Linked DNA regions of Yarrowia lipolytica. The protein of the gene in region 2 interacts with the protein of the main gene of each other region in a pairwise test. Links are inferred from orthologs where the notes say so. Each region holds a gene or a part of one and is shown on either strand. Other genes may lie near its edges.

What was found.
Region 1: the proteins of YALI1_C17820g (region 2) and YALI1_A20855g interact in binary tests that used the Schizosaccharomyces pombe proteins (3 or more experiments, as listed by UniProt). The link is inferred for Yarrowia lipolytica from reciprocal best matches to the Schizosaccharomyces pombe genes cdc10 and res2.

Annotation. Positions count from the first base shown.
Region 1 is NC_090770.1:2,082,278-2,088,794, forward strand, and holds YALI1_A20855g (uncharacterized protein), read left to right. Parts: upstream 1-3,158; coding exon 3,159-5,057; downstream 5,058-6,517. Other genes in the region: YALI1_A20822g (uncharacterized protein), read right to left, coding at 37-111; YALI1_A20839g (uncharacterized protein), read right to left, coding at 1,247-1,616, 1,665-1,774; YALI1_A20849g (uncharacterized protein), read right to left, coding at 2,208-2,594, 2,692-2,694; YALI1_A20884g (uncharacterized protein), read right to left, coding at 5,144-6,103.
Region 2 is NC_090772.1:1,778,202-1,785,489, forward strand, and holds YALI1_C17820g (uncharacterized protein), read left to right. Parts: upstream 1-3,823; coding exon 3,824-6,019; downstream 6,020-7,288. Other genes in the region: YALI1_C17782g (uncharacterized protein), read right to left, coding at 1-42; YALI1_C17800g (uncharacterized protein), read right to left, coding at 671-1,822; YALI1_C17848g (uncharacterized protein), read left to right, coding at 6,629-6,738. UniProt on the Schizosaccharomyces pombe protein: Major component of the cell cycle transcription factor complex MBF (MCB binding factor, also known as DSC1), that controls G1-S phase specific gene expression. Involved in the control of rRNA production, via interaction with pol5.

The DNA.
Region 1 (6,517 bases), on a different chromosome or scaffold from region 2:
TCGAGCATGTTTCTGTGCCCGCTCTCCGGTACTCACATTTGTCCGCTTGGCCGCGTAGGACCGACCAAAATCGTTGTTGCTCAGATACTGGACCACGTTGGTCCCCGTCATGATTATCTGACCGTAAGAGTTGGTTTCGAGGGCTGAGTCGAGACAAGGCTTTCAGGAGTCCATAAAGTTTTGGCAGAGTCGGCTGTAAAATAGTGTGAAGACAGTAAAATCGACTTTGGCGGTGGGGGTTCAAAGACCCAAGTAAGCGGATAAAATCCCGTATTTAAGCACTCGGACTCTTCCCCACAGCTCCATATATACATATTCCACTACGACCCTGTGCTATCACAGCCTCTCTGTGGTGCTAATCATCAATCTCTAATTTATTTTCTTCCTTTTCTGTTATCCGCTGTGCTGAGACTGAGACGCAAAAAGGTTCGATGAGGGGATCGATTACTGCGAAGAGCCTTGGACAAAAGTTTTTTAAGCAATTTGTTTAGCGTCTGCTTGTAGTTCGGCACACGCGTGACCCAGCCAGTGGCGCAGTAACCGCAGCAACACGCCCGCACGTTTACCGTTTCGACGGAAATAATGGGGCCACCGAAACCGCCGCTTTTGCCTGCGCAAAAAAAATTCAACTAGCACTGCAACATAACATATATAATATCGATAAAAGAGCTCGCCAAAAAGCGCTATGTTTTTCGGGTCTGCCTTGCTATGCTATTTTGGGAATCCTCCTGCCTATTTGGGTTGGGCCTGCTTGTGCCAGACCACAGCAGTAGACTACAGTAGACCGCGATATATATTTCATCAAGGTACAGTACATACGAGAGTTAGAATAATGAGTAGAATAATAAGAAAGGAAAATACAAAGCTTGGGTACAGCACCGTTACTCTTTGCAGCATGAGGCAAGCCTCCCAAATGCGCGACACAGTTGACCGCCGAATGCTTATCAAGACACTGTAGTTTCAGACCACATCCAACACATCGGGAAGAAGACCACCGAGCTGGGCCTCGGAAGAGCTTCCTCCAACGTTTAGATTGCTCTACGGAGGTACACACCACAAGAGTCTTTTAAACATATGGCTTATGGTTATTTCCTACATTATTGAGACGTTTAATTTCCGACCGACGGACCATGGCCAGTGCATTCGCTACAGTATGTACATACCACGTTTCATACATAGATGGGTCGTAGACTCCAGTGATGATAACAATGACATCAGTTTAGGTACAATGAACCACTGCGTGCAATCACAACGGACCCTTCCTCCCTCTAAAACCACTGTGATAGTCTACTTGTGGGATCCCCTCATATAAACCCCATGACGAGCCAGATAAACACCGCAATCCGAGCAACTGTAACTTCGTACTATTCTGCGTTGGATGTGAAGTGAAAGTCTCGAACAGTCGCTTGTGGCAGGACGGCGAGTAGGAGTTAGAGCAGTTCCATATGACCGGATATCTGAGAACAATTCGCGCGAGCACACGGGTACGAATACGAGAGATATCAACCACAACCTGGCAGTGGAAGACTTGGTTGCTATAGCTAGACTTCGTATGACTGATAGCAATGACAAGTATGTACAATACTGTAGCAACTAACAAATATGGCGATAATGGACTGCAGTAAATAGCTACAGAATTCTGCTCCGAAACTCACTGAGTGTACAAGAATCGGTATTGGTGTTGTATGATGGTAGAAGGTAACCATTGTAATGCATCTACAAAGACTTTCAACGACGACGAGGATCCAACATCCAACTTTTTTATCACACACATGTTCCACGATAAGTTTCCTTCTATAGCTAGTCAGGCACCACCAATTACTACTTGTAAAATAGAATGGAACTCTCAACAGAAGCTACTTCCACGGGCACCTGTACTTGTACTGGTACAGTTCTGTCCACGTGATCACTTACATTCGAATGAGAACTTGTGGCGACACAGAGAAAGCAACCAAATCATCCAAGTACGTACAAAGCCTGTCCCCCTACGTAAGCCGATTGTACTCAATTCCATCACCGCCACTCGTCTACAGCTACTACTATCTCCACCTACAATCCCCTAGATCAATCATCTCCTAAAATACATTACTAATCGGCAGAATGGCGGCTATCAAGCGGAACTTCACACATGGTAGCCATCTGCAGATCGGGGAAGGTCGTGGCCTTCGGTAGCCAGCGCTCGCGTTCAAACATGGACACAAACACGTCTAATATCGTCGTCCTCCACCTCGCTGTCGCTGGTTGGGGTTGTTGCTCTGGTTGTTGTAGTTTCGGTTGCCTCGTCGGTTGCCAAACTGGCCGCCCTGCTCCAGCTGCTGCTGTCGCTGTCGCTGTTCCCGCTGCTGGCTGTATTGTTGCTTGATGCTGTGCAGTAGCTCGTCTGGCAGCTGGAGAGCCTTGATGTTGGAGCCTCGTACATAGTACTCGGACACGGTGGCGGTGTTTTCGCCCGATGCAGAAAACTCTTCGACCTCCTTGAGCGTGAGGTTCATCCAGTGGTCACATTTCAACAGGTGGCCTCTCAGGGACTCGCCCGATTTGAGCTCCACCAGCATGGGCTGACCCTGTGCTGCGTTGAGTAGGGATAAGGGTAGCTGCGTTAGTCATGGTCTGTCTGCCCACGGTTGGGCCGGTGCGTATCGCATCGAGAGGGGCCCACGTGAGCCCCAGGACGCCTGTATCAATACTCACCATCGATGTGGATTATGGTGACAGTTGGTGCTGGCGGTGAAAAAGCATATTTTGGGGCTAGGGTTGGGTGATGATGGTTTAGGTGTGTGCTTGTGGTGGGAACTATTACGTAACCTGAGCTGTAAGGACTCAGGTGCACACCAATTGGGAATTGCCGCAGGGATAAGACGATAATAGAAGTAAGGCGGAGCGCCAGGGGCAGGCCATACGAGATTTATATAGAGAAAAAAAAAAGCAACCCTCACACCCACGACATTCATTCTGTCACTGCCAAACAAGTATATATTTATATATCTCTAACCGCTGATCTGGCTCCCTCCCAGCTGGGACTCCAAATTACCCTCGCTACGATACTGCACACCCAGCCCACATACGGCTTTTCTCGTTGTCCAAAACAGCACATAGGGTAACTCGAAACCCGAAACCCATTATTGCGCCAACGCGACACGACGACGCACTACGCGACCATGTCCATCTACAAAGCAACGTATTCGGGCGTGCCCGTCTACGAGTTCCAGTGTAAGAATGTGGCCGTGATGCGGCGCAAATCCGACGGCTGGGTCAACGCTACCCACATCCTCAAGGTCGCTGGCTTCGACAAGCCTCAGCGAACGCGGATTCTGGAAAAGGAGGTCCAGAAGGGCGTCCATGAAAAGGTCCAGGGCGGCTACGGCAAGTACCAGGGCACGTGGGTCCCCCTGGAGCGGGCCAGAGAGATTGCCACGCTGTACGACGTTGATTCACACCTTGCGCCCATCTTCAACTACGACGACGAGGATGGCTCACCTCCTCCCGCACCGAAACACAGACCCAATCTGGAGCGCAAGAAGCGGACCAAGGTGACGGGATCGCCTCTGGTTCGCCAGCCCAGTCGCATGGAGACTCTCACCCAGTCAACGGGATCCACCATGGGAGGCACTCCACAACACTCTAGACAGTCGTCTCTCAGCCAACTGGCCCAGTCTTACGGACTGGACGACAGCGACCACGTGACTCCATCGCCTCCCACAGTTGCTGACGATTCGTCCGACTTCATGTCCGATGAAGAAGTTGACCGACAAATGGGTAACTACCCTCGACCCATGATGGCCAAGCCCAAGCCAATACAGGTACGGGACCCCAAGGATCTGTACACCAACGACCTGCTCAACTACTTCGTGTCTGCTGACGACGAGAAGATCCCCGCGTTCCTGGAAAACCCACCTGCAGAGTTTGATGTGCACAGACCCATTGACGAGGAGGGCCATACAGCGTTGCATTGGGCTTGTGCCATGGGCCACCTGCGGGTGATTGAGCTGCTGCTCAAGGCCGGATCGGACGTGCGAGCCACCAACATGTTTGGCCAGACACCTTTGACGAGGGCCATCATGTTTACTAACAACTACGACCGAAGAACCTTCCCTAAAGTGGTGGACATCTTGCAAGACACCCTGTTTCAGGTGGACGGCCAGGGCAGAACCGTGCTTCACCACATTGCCCAGCACGTGAGCAAGTCGCAGTCCGCGGCCAAGTACTACGTGACTATCTTGCTGTCAAAAATTAGCGAGAACCACTCTCTAGGCGTACTGTCACAATTCATGGACACGCAGAACAACGAGGGCGACACCGCCCTGCATATTCTCGCCCGTTCAGGTGCCAAAAAGGTGTCCCGTGCCCTCATGGACTTCAATGTCAAGACAGATATCGTCAATGCCGACGGTCGAACTGCGCTGGATCTGCTGGAGGGCGACAGACAGATGCAGCAACACCCGCCGCCCGCCATGGCACTCCACCATCAGCCTCCCTACCAGATGCTGCACGAGAGCGAAACTGCCATTGCCGCACACAATCTTGCCGGAACCGTAGTGCACAACCTGCAAGTGTTGGCTCACGCCTTTGATGCCGAGCTCAAGGAGAAGGACGCCGACGTGCAACAGGTGCGCCAGATGGCCACCAAGATGGAGGAAGACATTGCCGCTACCAACGAGGCGATCCGGGAGTATGAGGCCAAACATGGCACCGCCGAGGAGCTCGAGAAACTTGCCTCTGAGGCTGAAGAGCGTGTGACTACACGGGTGAACCAGCTACGCAAGGTGTTCGAGCGGTCACAGGCGAAGGGCCTTGCCATGCTTGTTGCCGAGGAGGAGCGGGAGATATCGCGTGAACAGACCAAGGGCGAGTTCAAGACCGCCAAGGAGCTGACAGACCTCCAGCATGGACGGAAGGATCTTGTGGACGACGTGGTAGAGCTGTTCGCCAATGCCGGGGTTGGCGAGAAGATGAACGAGTACAGACGGCTGGTGGCCATGAGCTGCGGTGTCAAGGTGGAGGATATCGACGGGCTTCTTGATGGAATCGAGAAGGCTCTGCTTGAGGGAGAGAGATAGTATGGGTCGGTCTAGGACGATGTAATTTAATGTACACTACGAGGTTATCTACTTGTGTATGTAATCTGACAGCAATATTTGGTTGTTTATTCGAGCTTTAGCCCCGCAAGATCATCTCCCAGAGACTCGATCTGTATTAGTTCAATCTCCTTATCAATGCTGGCAGTGGCAACGTAGCCATCACCAGCACTAATGCATCGCAATCTCGAACCTGCCACGTTTATCTTTCGCCACGTAGTCTGGTTGAGCAGTCGCACCGAGCCGTCGTCTCCAGCAATGGCGAGAGTCTTCTCGTCCAACCAACTAAGGCGTCCCAGACTGTACTTGTCTTGAGGAATCAAAGTAGGGAAGGAAACAACAGTGTCGTCAGACTTGACAATAATGACCCTTGCGTAGGGCGTATGGCTTGTGAGACAGGCAATCTCCTTGGTATCGTTGTTGTAGACCATGTCAAACACGGTGAATGAGTGGGGCATATAGTGGGCATCGACCAGAGGAATAGTTCTGAGCTTCTCCAATTGGTCGGAGAGAAGTTGAATCGAGGTACAGTCTTCTCGAGACACAGCCAGCCCATTACGAGTCCATGCAATCGCTGTGGGGTTAGTCAGTGAGTCAATGAACGCCACCTGTTCAAAGCCAACCTGCTTCGTGACCACCACCTTTTTATCGAAGCCAATGGACGCAATCAGTCCATCTTCAGAAACAGAGATTCCTCCGACAAACCGAGAATGTGGCTTGAAACTGCTGGGTTTGTATTCTGAATCCACCTGGACAATGGATCCATCCATGCATCCCACCAGAGTGGTGTTATTGGCTCCAGCAACGATGACTCGTCCTACAGCCGGTAAGGTGAGGTTCTTGACTTCCAGAAGAGTAGTATTGTAAAAGGTCAAGTTCTTGGTCGAATCTGTAGTGACAACTCTGCCACCGATGAGCTTTGTGTCCACAATCATGTTTTTCGACTTGGTTGACAGCACAGTCAGGGTGACGTCTTCCTCCGTGACTACATTGTCGTCTTTCTGTTCCTTTTTCGGCAGGTAGGTCATCAATCTGGGTTAGAAAAGGCAGAGAAAGGATGTACGCCACGAGAGGACAACATCGGGTTTGTCACTTGAAAGCACTATTTCGTCTATATCGTACTCACTCTTCAATGGTGACAGGTTCATCTTTGATATCACACTCCTCTTCAAAAGCAGCCAGGGTCTGGGTTAGTATCAAAGGGAGAACGATTGCGCCGTCGCATCACTCACATTGGTGTATCCCTTATCTTGGAGGTATTTGGCAATTAATCCATCCATGTTGTATGTAATCAGAAAAGGTCTAACCGTCACCAAGCTGCATGCCGTGATCTGGGTATTAGTAAAGTTTATCTAACCTGGAGTACCAACGTCAAGTAATCAGATTAAGAGTGCAATAAGTACGCAATCATGGTCACAACTACGGTACAGTACGCATCCAGT
Region 2 (7,288 bases):
ACGTATATAGCCATAATCATGCCCTGATTCGATCAATACCATTTTATCCCAAATTACTCAGCAAAACACGCCCAAATAACAACACCCCTTTCCCACCCCCACACCAAGATGAATAATAAGCTCGAAGATGCAATTCACAAGGATACAACGGAGCTTCAATCTGATCACGGTTTTCTGTAATATGTCCTCCCCCGAATCTCACGTAAGCTACCAAATCACGTGACCCCAACTGTCCAATCGTCTATATATAGCATCACGTGACCGACAACCCCCCACCCAACCAGCGGCATGTTAGCCGCAACACACCCCATCATCTCCACTCCGCATATTATGCAGGGTGTAGGAGATAACGCTTAATCCCGGCAATAGGGTAACTTGATTAGTAATCTGCATCGCATGGCATGTGAGTGAAGTGCAAGTTGGGATAAGAAAAAACGGAACCCTAAATTATTTTTGAAATATATATATATATATTTTCTCGTTCCACCCACACTGTGGGGAAAAACGGAGATTCGCGCGGATACTTGAACTCGGCAAAAACGAGGGATATAAATTGTGGTATACTGGAGCTCTATTTGACTTTAAGTTGGTTAAGTCCGCTCCGATAAATGTCAACTAGTGTGGATAAAAACATCATCATTCATCAATCATAATCTCTATGTGAGTGGGGTCATGCCGATAGCAGATCCATGGCGGCCTGAAGCTCTTTCAATGCTGTCTCCTTGTCCTCGTAGTTGAGGGCGGAAATGGCAAACTTGGCGTGTTTCTGGGCCTGTTTGATCAGAGCGTCTTCGTCCAACACAGTCTTGGGGTCGACTGGTTTGGCCACAATCTTTGCAGGCGACGACACCTTTCGCTGCGGGCTGGGAAGAGTGGGTTTGGGAGGAGCCACGTCTCCGGGGGGGTTGGAAGGAGGAGCAGGAGGAGTGTTGTCTTCGGGAAGAAAAGTCGGAGGTGCAGGAGGAATGCTCGATAGGGGGTCGTCATTATCGTGAGATGATAGTGCCTTGGAGGCGTGAATTGAAACCTCTTTCGGAGACAATCTCTTGTCGAAAGGATCCACAGAGTCAGCACCGTCGTCAACGCCAGCTTCCTTCTTCATCTCCGCCATCATTCTTTTGATTTGTTCCTCCTCGGGCAGCTCTGCCTCCTCCTCTTCTGTGGTTGGTTGTTTTGGAGCAGTATCTTCGTTTCCGTCATCAATGGCGTTGTCGATAACGTCGTCCTCGTCCTCGACAGTGAATTCGTTGGGGTCTTCTCCGGCCTTGAGAGTTCTGAGGATTCGAGCGGCGTGGAACTTGGCATACTTGATCTTATCGACAACGTCCTTGTCCAGCTCTCCAAACAGCTTGACCACCTCAAAGAAGGTGGCCGCGGCAAAGAACATCTGCGCCGTGGCCTTGGTGCTCGTCTTGTCCCGCACCTGCTTGTCTGCCCGGGCAAAGATCTTCAGGGCAAAAGCCTCCACATACGAGCTGGCCACCGTGTCGTCACTGATAACAGCCTGGCCCTTCTCCGACACCAGAACCGGATCCTCCTCCTTGAGCTTCTCAATCTCGTCCAGCAAATTCCCGGTGAAGATGGCGGCTTCTGTGTCTTTCTGATGCAGACCCTGGTCGACAATCTGCTGCGCCGCGTACAACTTGCAATGGTACGAGATGATGGGGTCCGCCGTCTGCGTCTCCTTGGCCTTGGCCAGGTACGGCGTGATTGGTTTCAAAGAAGCCGGAGTCGTCATTTCAGCTGCTGGAGTAGTTGTAGAGGTTGTGTGGCGTGTATCAGCATCGTATGTATAGATAGCAATTGAGTTCAAGTGGCACATGGTGGAACGTGGGGGTGAGGAGTGGAAATAGTGGGTGCAATAGTGGTGTAAGAGGTACGATATTTACATTTCAGAAGTCTACGAGTTGTAAGGAACAACATGATATCGTTTTATATTCAACAGGATGACAACTGATAACCTTGACAACTCCGCGTGGTGGTACTAGTATGTACAGTAGGTACATCGTATCTCAGGAAAATCTCGACCAACTGACCACTGCAATCAACATACAAAGTACCATCATATCCCCAAACATGAACATACGAAGACATGTTACGACGCCGTGAAGATCGTGGGGTCCCGGACGTTTTATTTTCGTCACGTGACTCTCCTCTGGCGTGTGTTTTGATCACTTTTGTGTCTACTTGTACAAGTACTTGGAGATATACCCTCCTCCCTAGTTAACCATCATACAGTAAGTAGCTGTACAATATGTACTGTACTAATTAGTAATATTCGTGAACATTCATTTCAAAGGTTATTCTTTCACAGCAAAGTTATAATTAAATGAATGTATATGCAGAAAAAAAAATTGTACTTTTACAATACAACATTGAGCGTTCAGAACGGCATTTCTGAGAGGTTAAGACCACGAAAGCGACTCAAGTCGAAGGAACTCCCTCTAAAAAGCCCCATGATAAAGCTCAGCTCAAGTTGCCGTACAACTATCTCCTATTCTGCTACCCTACGCTGCCTGCCTCTTCCCACCCACTTACGTAATACAATCTAGGCTTGACCCTTAATAAACGGTTATAAATGGACGCATCAGTGGAGATATTGAAAAACGGGAAAACGGAAATTGCCTTCACGTGACCCGCTCTACTCGGTCTCCGCCGACTCGACGCCCGGTATCTCTTGTATCGGCTTTTCTACACGGGTTTTGCCGATCTCAGCCCAACACAGGACTTTTAGAGTTGCAACGCCAAAACCAATAACGGGTTAGGTGTTTCCATTTGCGGGGTTATTTGTGGAGGAGAGAAATGGAAAAATTGCCAAAATATCGAAAAACCGCGAGAAAAACAGGGAAAAAATAAGTTTCTGGTAGATGTCAAATATCTCTCTCTTATGATGCAATCTCCTCCCAGATTTTGTCTCTTTTCATCAAGATAATTACCTCAGGTTTGTTGGTTATGCTATCACTAATTGAATGGAAGAAAAGCGGCTCCAACATGTCCAATAATCACGCTAGAAACAAGAGAAGAGTCTTGAAATGCTCGGGCAGTCGTGCCGAGCCCCATCTACTTCTTTTATTCGCGCCACCTCTTCCCCCGCCCCCCACAGCTCCCCTCGGCAACTCTTGCTACTTATACTTCCCATGCACGAATAAGCCGCCAAAATAGAGTGAGCAAGTGTGCTGAATGGGTGGGTTAGTGGAGGGAGCTACGACAGGGCGTTTGTGACTGAATGCGAAATATTTTGGGGGCGCGACACAGAGCAGAAACCAAAGTATATATATGTGTGTGTCTCCCGCGGCTCGGCTCTGTCGCCCGCTGGGCTTGTCTTTTTTGTGTCCATGGGTTTTTGGGCCTGCCTCCCAATCACGCGTTACCCTCCTACGCGCCTGAGTTTAACTTGCAATCGTGACTCTCTGCACGACGACACGGCCGAGACGATACTGTGCCAGTAATACACCCCATTCCACGGCTCTAGCGACACGTCTACAGCGACACAGACACGGCCCTCGCAACTAGCGCCATACAACCAGCGTTTTCCCACGACCGATCATTCCCGTGACGCTAAAACCAGCTCCACAAAACCCTGTACACCCTTGCTCCACGACAGTGCCCTGAGGTACCGACAGAAAAAGAAGCGCTCAGAACCACCTCTGGACAGAGAAGAGCTAGCTACACGACTGCGACTTTGCTCGAGCTCCGCTAGACTCGCCGACTTGTATTTTTTCACAACTGCATTCACACCACATCTGTTTGCCCCAGAAAAACTGACGCTCAAAGACGTTCACGACACGCTACAGGCGACAAAGACCATTGTTCATCCACAACCATGCCCGACGTGAAACACGAATCCTCCACACCTGGCATGTCGCCAGAATTGTACACCGCCGTTTACTCCGGAATCCAGGTGTTTGAAATGATGGCCAACGACGTGGCCGTCATGAGACGACGCACAGACTCGTCGCTCAACGCTACCCAAATCCTCAAGGTGGCCGGCGTGGAGAAGTCCAAACGAACCAAGATTCTCGAAAAGGAGATCCTCACCGGCGCCCACGAAAAGGTCCAGGGAGGCTACGGAAAGTACCAGGGAACATGGATCCCTTACGAGCGAGGCGTCGATCTGTGCCGACAGTACTCAGTCTACGACGTGCTGCAGCCGCTGCTAGCTTTTGATCCCGCCCAAGTCGGAGACTACACACCTACCAAGGAACAGGCCATGGCAGCCCGCCGAAAACGGATCGTCGCTACCAAGCAGCAGAGCCGAATGGACATGCCTCTGGCGCAACCCCTGCAGCTTCCCCAAACACACACCCCTCTCTCTGTGTCTGCCGAAAGAGCACTTTCCATGCTCGGCAACAACTCCATGAGCAACATGAGTGGCTCACCCAGCATGTCTAATATGGGCACTCCTCAGATTGGCACTCCAGGCACAGACTCAGCGTCTCCTCCAGCCAAGCGTTTCAAGTCGGAAACTAACGGACACGGACATGGTGGCCCTCAAAATCAGGGCCCCCAAGGCCACCAGAGTACTCCAGGACACATGGTTCAACAACAGCAACAACAACAACAGCAGCAGCAGCAACCCAACCACACTCTGGAATTCGACGAAAACCTTCCCACAGCAGACCTGTTCTCCCCGACGAACCTCCCTATGGACCCTCTTCCTCCGGATGCACACAATGACGCGTCACGAGATATCATGACTCAGCTGTTTATGGGCAACGGAGCAACGAGCTTCTCGCCGGCCATCAACGTTGACGTCCCCATTGACGATATGGGACATGCTGCTCTTCATTGGGCTGCTGCCTTGGCCCGAGTGGATGTTGTACGGGCTCTGGTCATGCATGGAGCTGACCGACGACGAGCCAACTACGCTGGCGAGACGGCGCTAGTTCGAGCTATCCTTGTGACCAACAACTTTGACTCCGGCACCTTCCCCCAGATGCTGGATATCATTTACCCAGCCATCCCCCTACTAGATAAGCAGAACCGAACTCTTCTGCATCACATTGCCCTGACTGCTGGTATCAGAGGCAGAGCAGCAGCTGCAAAGTACTACCTTGAGTGTCTGCTCGAGTGGATTGTGCGACGGGGGACGTCGCCGAAGCGAATCCGGTTCTCTTTGGCGAGATTTATGCAGGAGATTGTCAACGCTCAGGACAAGTACGGTGATACTGCGTTGAACATTGCTGCTCGAGTCGGAAATCGTGCGATCGTGACCCAGCTGATTGAGGTTGGTGCAGATCCCATGATTCCCAATCGAGCTGGACTTCGACCTGTTGATTTCGGCGTCACTATCAACCTTGCCGAGGTTAAACCCATGCTCTCGCGGTCAGGAGAACGAGTGGGCTTCTCTGCAAATGCCGAGACGCGGTCTAAGGATATTCTGCAGACGATCATCTCGTCGATCGAGGGTCTGGACACGGATTTCTCGTCTGAGATGGCTGGACGAACTCGAGCGGCTGAACAGGCTCATGCCGAGCTCAGGGGAGCTACCAATGCACTTTCCGAGGCTCGACAGCGACTTGAGCACCTCAAGAACCTTTCTTCCAAGCGAGACGCAATGCTGAAGCGAGCAACTAACCTTGAGCGGGCTCTTCACGACGAAGATGCCAAGTTCCAGGCGCATTCCGGCGGTGCTAATATGTCTTTCGAGGGTAACTTTGACGCTGACCAGCCGTTCCGAACTCGTGCATTGTTCCAGGCTCCTCGAGACAAGGAGTGGTCTGTGCAGGAGATGAACTCGATTGAGGTCCCCTCCCAGCAAGTCCTTCAGGCTCGTGTGCGAGCGTACCGAAAGAACCAGGCTGAGCTGGAGCGAACGTCTGGAGAGCTCAGAGGCAGATCGACCGAGCTGGAACACAAGTTCCGACGGGTCATTGCTCTGTCCACTGGTGTTGCCGAGGATAAGGTGGACGAGCTGCTGGAGGGTCTTGTCCAGGCAGTGGAGAGTGATTCAGGGGAGGTCGACATCAACCGGGTGGCTGGTTTCCTGAGAAAGTTGGAGCCTCCTCAGCAGGCATGACTGCATCAATTTTCGTTTTGAAAAGAAACAAACAGCTCACGGTATGGGCTGTTCTCAGTGTATAATCGTGTGTAATTTTTATATAATCACGGCTAATGAAATTATGTTAATGAGATGGCACTGGCGTCGTACCAGTAGGAAAGATATCAACATACCAACATACACTCCACAATGCTGTGTAGAATAATAGAGAATATAAAAGGTCGATACAGTCGTGGCTACCGACACTGACGTCTTTCACGCCCTCATCTCGAATGAAACAACTCTGCGTCTGCCTTCCCTTTTCCCTGGCTGTCTATTGTTGCCCCGCAGGACCCCTGTTACTAAGTACATATAGTTGGAGTTTATTTAGGACATGGGGTGTCTTTATATTGGGATGTAGAGGATATAGAAAGAATTTGAAAGCAGATTCTGGATATTCCAATCAACACCATTCTAATGGTACCAAAAAACCTCACCTTTGTATTACAATAATCGCCATTTTCCGACGCCCCCACTTTTTCCAAGGACAACACATGCATAAGCGAGATTAAGATTTGGCGATGGTGCGTATACCAGCCTCGACAGAGTCTCTTGTCTGCTACTTTCACTACTTGTCATATCAGCATCATGAAACTGTTGAAGTATGCCGCCGCGGCGCTCTTTGCGTCCAGCGTGGCTGCCAACGTGACGGTCGAGCTCAAGGCTCAATGGCAGAGTGACTTTCTGCTGGAATTAGTGTGAGTATCGAGCATGGCAGGGCGGCGATCTTGCGTGTTTGGTTTGGCTATGAGTTCTGGCAGTGGACTGGATCAATTAGTGGTGGCCAATACCAGTGTCCAAGACTACATGTCACACAGGACCCAGTATGTGCGACAGTCCAAGGTACATGAGCGACTTGAGTCAGGCAATCTGGATCTAAATGATGGCCTCGGAGAGCTCTGACTACGACGATGACCTTAGCAGGTTATTGGACAGAGACAGTACTTGGGTGATTGTGTTAAATGTTGAGTGACTCAGCCATGGAAGAGGCGATCAGTGTAGACAAGCAAATCCCCGGACCGATATTGGCCTGTGTCTACCATCCTGGCACCAATGGACGGTATGGATCCAAGGTCAGACGATTGTTATCGGAGATACGAACCAACCCGGTTCATTAGATCCTGCTCCCCGACGACCTCCGGTAGATTCGATGGAGAGTACTATTTCTCTCTACCTGACAAGTTCGCGCTAAAGATCATCACCGGAGTTCACACCAGCAAATGGTCTCCCCCTCGCTGGACTGACAAA